Arabidopsis thaliana: one gene and its partner. The protein of the gene in region 2 interacts with the protein of the main gene of each other region in a pairwise test. Each region holds a gene or a part of one and is shown on either strand. Other genes may lie near its edges.

The links. Proteins that work in one complex are often made in the same cells at the same time.
Region 1: the proteins of CIPK9 (region 2) and CBL7 interact in a two-hybrid assay, tested with the Arabidopsis thaliana proteins (one study listed by BioGRID).

The regions. Positions count from the first base shown.
Region 1 is NC_003075.7:13,406,230-13,409,859, forward strand, and holds CBL7 (calcineurin B-like protein 7), read right to left. Parts: upstream 1,859-3,630; 5' UTR 1,745-1,858; coding exon 1,622-1,744; intron 1,552-1,621; coding exon 1,504-1,551; intron 1,393-1,503; coding exon 1,333-1,392; intron 1,258-1,332; coding exon 1,149-1,257; intron 1,026-1,148; coding exon 892-1,025; intron 778-891; coding exon 665-777; intron 562-664; coding exon 504-561; downstream 1-503. Other genes in the region: CBL3 (calcineurin B-like 3), read right to left, coding at 2,379-2,436, 2,534-2,646, 2,764-2,897, 3,018-3,138, 3,213-3,272, 3,398-3,480. UniProt on the Arabidopsis thaliana protein: Acts as a calcium sensor. CBL proteins interact with CIPK serine-threonine protein kinases. Binding of a CBL protein to the regulatory NAF domain of a CIPK protein lead to the activation of the kinase in a calcium-dependent manner.
Region 2 is NC_003070.9:63,635-69,635, forward strand, and holds CIPK9 (CBL-interacting protein kinase 9), read right to left. Parts: upstream 3,992-6,001; 5' UTR 3,879-3,991; coding exon 3,690-3,878; intron 3,264-3,689; coding exon 3,201-3,263; intron 3,116-3,200; coding exon 3,044-3,115; intron 2,924-3,043; coding exon 2,816-2,923; intron 2,709-2,815; coding exon 2,628-2,708; intron 2,527-2,627; coding exon 2,473-2,526; intron 2,231-2,472; coding exon 2,105-2,230; coding exon of another isoform or gene 2,099-2,104; intron 2,019-2,098; coding exon 1,929-2,018; intron 1,823-1,928; coding exon 1,697-1,822; intron 1,584-1,696; coding exon 1,476-1,583; intron 1,384-1,475; coding exon 1,267-1,383; intron 1,174-1,266; coding exon 1,117-1,173; intron 1,023-1,116; coding exon 936-1,022; intron 842-935; coding exon 764-841; 3' UTR 533-763; downstream 1-532. Other genes in the region: AT1G01130 (CBL-interacting Serine/Threonine-kinase), read right to left, coding at 1-177. UniProt on the Arabidopsis thaliana protein: CIPK serine-threonine protein kinases interact with CBL proteins. Binding of a CBL protein to the regulatory NAF domain of CIPK protein lead to the activation of the kinase in a calcium-dependent manner. Involved in K(+) homeostasis under low-K(+) stress.

The DNA.
Region 1 (3,630 bases), on a different chromosome or scaffold from region 2:
GAAAAAGAGTGAGAGATGAGATTAGCTACGGAGCAACCCACCACTAAACTTAGTGGACCTGTGGGACCCACACTGCTTATGAATTTTGTTGTGAAAAAAATACGCGCTACGGTAACGCGTGAGGATCTATTTTTCCTTCTTTTTTTGTTTATTTTGTTTATTTTGTTAAATACATCCGGTTCGATCAAACCGGCGATTTCAATTTTGACTTGAGAATTCAGATTAGAGCATAGCCGATCATTGGTGTTGAGTTCTTCTCTCTTTTTTTTCTAGCAGTTTGCCCTTTCAATGCTCTAGCAGTTTGCTTTTACATGTCTCAAGATTAGTAGTAGATCTACAGATGCGAGGAGAAAATCATCAACGGATTTGTTTTTTTTCCACACAAAGGAACAACAAAATCTTGAAAATGTTGAGAGAGATTGAAAACAAATAAACATGATACATAATCAGAAAACAAACACAATTCCCAAACAGTCTCCTCTGCTAATATGCTATTGTTTTTCTCAGGTATCTTCCACTTGCGAGTGTAACACAAAGCTCGGAAATGTAGTTGTGATATCCCTGCACACAATATCAGATATCATGGTGTTAATAATACGTGATGCAGAAAAATTTGAAGTTGCATTGGCTAAACCTCGGGTTAGTCTTTGGTTTAGGAGCTCACTTGAGATACTGGAGAGTCATGTTCTTCAGAAGAAGAGGATGTCTAAAAACTAGGTCCATCCACTCTTCCTCATCGATCATCCCTTCATGTTTTGTGTCAGCTTGCACAAATGTCTGCCTCATAAACTCAAAAATCACTCTTCACTTCATATTCATCAGCTGCTTAAACTTAGTTGGCTATACTATAGACTAGAGTCGAACCAAAAAATAGAAGGAAGGAAAACACACCTTGTCGATTATACTCTCTACGATTTCGTCTGACTGGCTCATGCCGGACGCAGCAAGAGTAGCCACCACCAGTTGTTTCACCCCCTGCCTTTCGATAAAACCTTGCTGCTTAAGATCATATAGCTGAAACGAAACTGCCAAATAATGTTCCAGGTAACCGTTAATAAGCTTTCATGGAATATATATAGGTAGCATGTGAACAGTTTGTTTGTAGATGGTTAATATATCGGGTCTAGTTTTTGAGATCAGAGACGTACGGTCAATTTTATCATCTATAGGAGCAGATGGATGAAAGACAGAGAGAGCTCGGGCAAACTCCTCAAACCCAAGTAATCCATCATGATTTGTGTCGAACAAATCGAAGACCTGTGTGATAGGGTAATGTCATTGTTTGCAAATGGATTACAAAGACTTTTTTTGTTGAGAACAAAAATAAAATACCCTCTCTGAAAACAAGCTCTCATTTTTGTCAGTCTGGAATATGGCTACATGAAACTGTTCCTGATACAACAGAAATACAACAGGACACGTTATGGAAAATCTGTAAGACTTGTTGAAAAGAAGGAGTGCGTGGCAAGAAAGACATATATATTTATATATAATTCCAAATACCTTGTTCATTTCACCATAATAACACGTTACGCCTTCTACAACGTTACCCTGAACGAAGAAACACAGATTTATATCATATGCGTACTTAGCAAGAAAGTTACATATAATTTATACGAACCTCGTTTCTTTGGCAATCAACACCGCTGAGTTTCTTAAACACCTCATAGAGTGCCTTTCGCTTTTTCTGATCCGTAAAGCATCCCGTGGAGTTGGAAGAAGCTGAATTTCTTGTTGAATCCATGGAGAGTCGTGTAGATAGAAACTTTTTAGCCAAGAAAGAGAGAACAAATCGATGATCAAAAAAAGAGATTGTCAACGCGCTCTGATACCTATTCAGATCTTTGAGACAGGGAAAACATATATATTAGGAAAGACCGAAAGAGTAAGTAATTTATTCCTCAAAGTAAACGTGTTTATGCAGAACACAATCGTCACTAACTTTGCTAATTACTTTGTCAACTCTAACTGACAAAGTCAACCACAAGACTAACAAATCCGATTGTTGTAATGTTGCATCCGGTTCGATCAAATCGGTGATTTCAATTTTGACTTCAGAATTCAGACTAGAGCATACCCGATCATTTGGTGTTGGGTTCTCTCTTTTTTGCTCTCTATTATCACTTCATCAGTTTGCTCTTTATTAATAGGATTCATGTCTCAAGGTTAGTAGTATATCTACAGATGCGAGGAGAAAATCAGCAATCAAAATCAGGAGTAGCAAAAATACAGATTTGTTTTCTTTACTTTTAATTCACACAAGTAACAACAAAATCTTGAAAATGTTCAGAGAGATTGAAACAAATAGACATGATACATAATCAGAAAACAAACACAATTCCCAAATTGTCTCCTCTGCTAATATGCTATTGTTTTTCTCAGGTATCTTCCACCTGCGAGTGGAACACAAAGCTCGGAAATGTAGTTGTTATATCCCTGCACACAATATCAGAGATCGGTGTTAATAATAACACAGAAAAAATTGGAAGTTGCATTGCCTAAACCTCGGATAAGTCTTGGTTTAGGAACTCACTTAAGATACTGGAGAGTCATATTCTTTAGAAGGGAAGGATGCCTGAGAACAAGGGTTCTCCACTCTTCCTTATCGATCCTCCCGTCATGTTTTGTATCAGCTTCCTCAAATGTCTGTGAAAGAAGAAACTTAGAAACCACTCTTTACTTTATTCTCAACTGCTATCATGAGTTGGCTATACAACAGTGGAACAAGAATATAGTATCGAGCAGGGTAGGAAGGAACCACACCTTGTCGATTATACTCTCTATGATTTCGTCTGACAGGTTCATGCCGGACTCAGCAAGAGTAGCCACCACCATTTGCTTCACCTCTTGCCTCTCTATGAAACCTTGCTGCTTAAGATCATATAGCTGAAACGAAACTGCAAAACAATGTTCCCGGTAACTGTTAGTGATATTTCATGGGTTACATGTAGCATGTCAACATCAGATAAATTGTATAGATGGTTTCTCAGATCAACTTTGTAAGATCAAAGACGTACAGTCAATCTTGTCTTCTATGGGAGCATTTGGATGAAAGACAGAGAGAGCACGCGCAAACTCCTCAAACCCCAGTATTCCATTATGCTTTGTGTCAAACAAATCGAATACCTGTGATTGGTACTGTCAAGTTATCTTTCAAAAAGGATCTTGGCAAATGGATAACAAAGTCTTTTGATTAAAAAAGAAGAACATACCCGGTCTGCAAACAAGCTCTCTTTTTTATTTGTCTTGAACAAGGCTAACTGAAATTCTTCCTGAACGACAAGACAGGTCAAGGAAAATCAGAAAAGGATGTCCAAAAGACGTAGCAATATGCATGATTCGTGAGGAGTATAAGTGAGTGGCATAAAAGACATATAATGATGCCCTTCCTTCATACCTTGTTTATTAGCCCATCATCAATCACAGCACTGCTGATTTTCTTAAACAGCTCATAGAGAGCCTCTATTTCACTCACGCTAACTGCACCCAAACGAGTCAATGATCAAAACACAGAAAGAAAGATTTGCATTCCTCTTAACAGAGAGCATCAACTAGAGTAATGGCAAGCCTTTGAATCATACATATAACTGGAAAAAAAAAGTGCATGGAAGTTAAAATAAGATGGAAAAG
Region 2 (6,001 bases):
TGCCGACGCTGTTTCCTTGTCTGAAACCCTAGATTCGATCTCTTTCGGTTGATTCGATCTCGCGTAATCAGATTCTGGTGAAGTGGGAACAGAAACCATTACGATTCTTTCTTCCGGAGGAGGTGAATCCCAATCACCCAAAATCTCTACACTCTCTGAATCTGAACGTTTCTCCATTCTTAAAAACTTTGGAATGCGAAATTTGCGACTTTATGGGCTTTACGGGCTGTTTGATTTGAAAGATTAGACAACTCACACAACTTATTGGGCAATTAACGTTGGTCTGCTCAACACCAACTCCTCACTAGAAACCACTCCGTCATCAATGTGTGACTGTACATCAAAATAAAACTTTTTTTTTTTGGTTGCAAACGTAGATCTATGTAGCTAAGATAACCTCTCTTTAATAATTCTATCATTGTGTTTTCCAAATTGTTATATATGTTGTGTCATTGTAACGCGTTGCCATAAAGCGACAACATCGTTGCAACTTTCAACTATACTCAAATAGCCAGCTTGCAGAGTATTTTTTGCCTAATTGAATTGTTTGAACTTTGATTTATAGGTTTCAAACCGAGTTTGAGGATGATCACATATGTGGCTATTGACTAACCTATGGTGATCTACCTCTATAGACCACTTCTAGTTCTAGTTTGGCTCTTTTGTCAGCAATACTTGTATATTGCCAACTCCAGAATGTTTACTATTCATTATACATGTTCAACATTGATTAAAAACTTTGAATTGAACAACTTGTTATTTCTTATTGCTTTTGTTCTTCAGCGGCTGCATCAGTATTCCAGACTACATCCTTTAATCCAGATGAGAAGTTTTTGTAGAACTGCAAAAGAGATTCAAACATAAAACCAATTTAAACACTAAACTAGAGATGTTAACCGGATCAAAACCGAACCGGTTTTTGATGAAGATCAAACCGAATCACATACCTTGTGAAACTCGAGGGTATCACCACCGGTTTTCCTAAGCTCTACCACATGCAATGATGGCGCCACTTCAAACACCTATTAAACCGATTACCAAACCATAACAATTAGATAACGATATTCATCAAAATCCAAAAACCGAACTGAACCGGAGTATTTTTTTCTTTCTTACCTCTGTAGCTACGGAGAGCTGACCTTTACGACCACTTTTGTCTCCTTTCATTTTTATCTGCGAAGTTTACTTAAACAATGTTTAACGAAGCTACAAAGACATTAGTTGACACAAACAAAATCAAGAAGAAGAAGAAGAAGAAGAACAGACCTTGTAGTTGTCTTTACGGACATTAAAGCCTAATGGCTTTGCGGTTTCTTCCATTTTCGACATTATTTCACTCGCAGATCGTTGAGAAGTAAACCGCGTTTCTTTCTTCACAAGTTGCTGCAAACAACAACAAATCAGATTTAGTTAGATAAAACCTATGCATGATTTTAGAAAATCAAGACAAACTGTAAGTAGAAAAAAGTTCTTACCGCTTGCTTCTCGAACAAGTTTTCAAGACTGAACTCGCTTGAGCTAGAGATAAGTTCGAAAGCGTTCATGGATACAGGTTTCTCCTTCTTCTCAGTTACAAGACATTCCTAGAGTAGCAGCACAAAAAGAGTGATATTAGTTGGTAACAATACATTGGTTTACTTAAACCGAACTATGATATACACAACCAGATGGAGAATTTGGAAATGGCGGTGTTTACCTTGGAGTTACTAAAAGCAGCATCAACATCATCTATGGTTATGTCCTCGTCATCTTGGTCAAATGATGGCGGCTTGTACCCTTTCTTGAACCATTCATCTTCGAGCAACTCTGCAATACTTATTCTCTGCATTTCAGAAATAAGTACATACTTAAGCTCTTGCACAATCTATGGTTGGCAGCATGTCATGTTCACATTTTCACAACTATTACTTCATGTAAGAGGCACTTACGGTAATAGGGTTGGGTTCGAGAATACGCTTGATGACTCTCTTGGCACCTTGCGAGAACCATGGTGGGCAGCTAAACTCAGCCTTGCATATCTAAAGTATATATTAAACACCAAAGATGAGACTAGAAAAGTACTGCAGAAGATCAAGAAGCAGAGGGAGAGATAATTTACACGTACACGTTTGTATAATGTCATGAGATTCGGCTCATCAAAAGGCAAGTAACCAGCCATAAGCACAAAGAGAATGACACCACAAGACCAGACATCTGCTGCTGCACCGTCATAGCCTTTGTCCGACAAAACCTGCCAGCAAATCCAACACAATGCAGTAGACAACATTAAAGGCATATCTCTTATATACATCATAAATAAAGAAGATTCTGCAAATGAAGTCTATATATACGTATAGCATTTGTTAGATTTCCTTCCTTTTTAAAAACGTATTAGCAGTTCTTGAATTCCTTAAAATCTTATTTTCCAAAGAGGATCTACAGAACATTTCATATTCTTTGCCTTTTTAAGTGCTGAAAGTTAGTACATAATACCTCAGGGGCAACGTAGTTTGGCGTTCCACAAGCTGTATGAAGCAAACCATCTTCCTGCATTCAAAAGAACAATGCTTAGAACACTTCATTCAAATTGATATCTTGGTTATATATATCAGAAATTAATTGCCAAGTGAAAAATATAATGGCATTACCCGAACTTGTCGTGAGAAGGCGCTTAACCCAAAATCAGAGACTTTCAAAACCCCATTTGCGTCAAGGATCAGATTTTCAGGCTGCAACAAGGAACAGATGATAACAAAAGAAACTTGAATAAGAACTAAGAAGAATGAATATCGTAATCACAGGAAACAAGAAGAGTGCACAAAAACAAAAGAAAGACCTTGAGATCTCTGTGGTAGACACCTCGACTGTGGCAGTAATCCACAGCATTGATGAGCTGCTGAAAATATCTCCGAGCTTCATCCTCCTTAAGCCTCCCTTGTTGCGCCTATGTATATGATTTAAATCCAAGAATTAACATAAGAGTAAGAAGAGAGAAAGACAGAGAACATATGTCAATATTTGTGAAGAGAAAAGAGAGGAAGATTCTCTAAGTTAGGTTACTTACGATTTTATCAAAGAGTTCACCTCCATTGACAAGCTCAAGAACGATATAGATCTTCGTTTTGCTCGCCATAACCTACCACAGAGAGATGTTTTACACGCTAAGATTCAAAACTTAATTTAAAAAATATCTAAGGAATGATAACTAATTAGTTTCGTACCTCAATGATTTCAACCACATTTGGATGTTTAATCAGTTTCATTGTAGATATTTCTCTTTTAAGCTGCACAACAACAAAAAAATAAAACTTTATGATCATTATATCTTCGAGATCTTGCTCATAACTTCCAATCATACATATATAGCATACAAAACTAAATCTTCAACAGATTCAAATCGAACCAAATCAAAAACAAAGCTACTCGAACTTCAAAACCATATCCATATCATAGTTAATAGTTATCTTGATCAATGCGTACTAAGATCAGCATCGTGTAGATATATACAGAAACAAAAACATTCATACAAAATTCGATATTTTAAAATATTATTGTTAACACTTTAATCAAACATTAACCTTAATAACCGAACACCAACCTAGGAGGACATGTGGGTCCCTAATCACGAAATTAAACTGTTCTTTATAGTACTTAAAAACAAACAAATCCATAATCATTTTACGTGATCAAACCAAACACAATTAACGAACCTGTTCGACCATTTTGTGACGGAAGACCTTTTCTCGGTCGAGGATTTTGATAGCGGCTTGATCTCCGGTGACGGTGTTCTTGGCGTATTTCACCTTAGCGAAGCTTCCTTCTCCGAGAGTTCGTCCCATCTCGTAATTCCCTACTCGCGTCCTACTCGCCGGCGTCGCCTTCCTTCTGCTTCCACTCATTTTCTTTTTCCGATTAAGAAAATCAACGGCTCTAGATCGGCGGCGAATCTATCAATGTGATTCTTCTCCCTCAATATCTCTCCTTCTTCTAGTGGCTGCCTGGTTTTAAGGCTGACGAGAGAAAGTGGACGAGCGAGAGATTTAATAGGCGCGACTGGGAGTCACGCGCGTATTGTGGGTCCCGTATGCCACGTAATGTCAAAAATCATTATTTTGCTCTGTTCCGCGTCAGTCCCGTGTTATTTGTACTTGTGTACGTTCGTAACGTTCATTCTTCATTCATATAAAAAAATTCCATAATTTTGTTCTTGTGTGGTAACTATATACAGAAACTCCTGTTTAAGTATATGGATTTTATGAAAATTTTGGGGTTTTAAATTTATGTGGATATGGTTTTATTTGTAAGGGATGTGATTTGATGTCCTTAATCTTTATGTGTATATGAGTATATCTTTCAGTGATTCATTCCATTCTACTGATGTTCAAAGTTGACTGTTATCATATTATTTGATATAGTTGTATTCTTTTCATGTAGAAATATTCTCTAAATATAACTTTTTTTTTTGTCTTTAGTTAGAAGTTGGAAACTACCTAAGAACAATAAATACATATATCAAATGTTGGTAGTTAAATGATGATTGTTATATCTTGGTCAAATTTTGTTTAAATCTATGATAATATTCGCATATACTTACTTTTGTTTAAATTTGATGTAGCTGTTTATTTTTGTTTGTAACGGTTCTAAATTTGATTATTTAAAGTATATGATAATAAATAAATAGATAATTGAAATAGTTGATCTTTCCATGTGACGATGTGAGTAAAGGGAACGGTATGAATATGAACCCCACATATCCTTCCTGATAAACTCAGAGATTTCACAGAATGTGATAATGTTTTTATTTTTCTTCTTTCCTTTATTTGTTTCTCTTATTTTCTTTCATATGATAATGCCAAAATACGCAGAAAAATTAAAAAAGTGTGGCAGACAGTGTGAGTTGATGATTTATTGCATGACTAGTAATAATGATACAATAATTTTTTAGATATGTTAGTATATTACGAACAAAAGAAAATGCAAATAATGCACAATGAACCACTCGTTCCAATAATTGAGTCCGGTACAAAAACATCACGTCACCATCATATGAAAGCAATTCATTTGGTTATCAATTTGAACTTCTTCATTCCACATTTTTTTTATTTTCCTGGTTATGAGTTGGAACTTATTGGATTATATGGATTAAAATTTAAAACCTATATAAACCAAACTATTATTTGGTTTGATTTTGTATTTACTTTCGGTTTAGCTTGGTTTGTAGATAGTTCGAGTAGACCGAACATCCGAGTCCTACATATATAAGAAAGATTGGCCCATTAACCAAATTTAGGCTTGATTGTGAATTAACATTAGGGCCCAACTAAAATACTTTTTTTTTTTTTTGCCATCCAATAACATTATTATCGCATATGTTCCGCATCATCGTTTACACAAATGATCAAATTGACCAAGTTAAGTTTCTTTTCTCTTTTTCTACATAATATTTGTTATTTAAAGCATTTGTATAAAATTATATACTGATAAGTGATGGTATATTCAATAATTTGTGTTTGTCTTTTTGTGATACAATTAATTATCCTTTATGGTTCCATTTTTTTTTCGTTGACAACGTTGAACAAAGATGGTCAAGGGGCCTAACTGTTTCTCACACAGTTTCCTTTCAGGGTTTAGTATTTGCCGTTTTAGTAACGAAGTTAGAGATTCATACGTATAATTATAAATAGTAGAGTCGGGTCAGATTGTGTTTCTTATCTAATTGTTATATATATAAAATTTGATAAAGCATATAATGTCTTGAAAGATTCAATCGTGAAATATGTGTACAAATATGTAAAATCTAGTTGCACCGCACGGCACCTTTTTTTCCTTCCTCTCCCACGTTTATTCTCGCCTCGTAACAGAAATTATAACTTGGAGTACTATTATAAAATACCTCAATAATTTTAGTTCTAAAAACATGTATATCTAAATCTAAACCATTGTGTATTTTGGAGTTGTAGGAGTTTTTTTTGTAGTAATTTAGTAATACATAACATAAAATGTGTCTTATGTTTAGATTTGC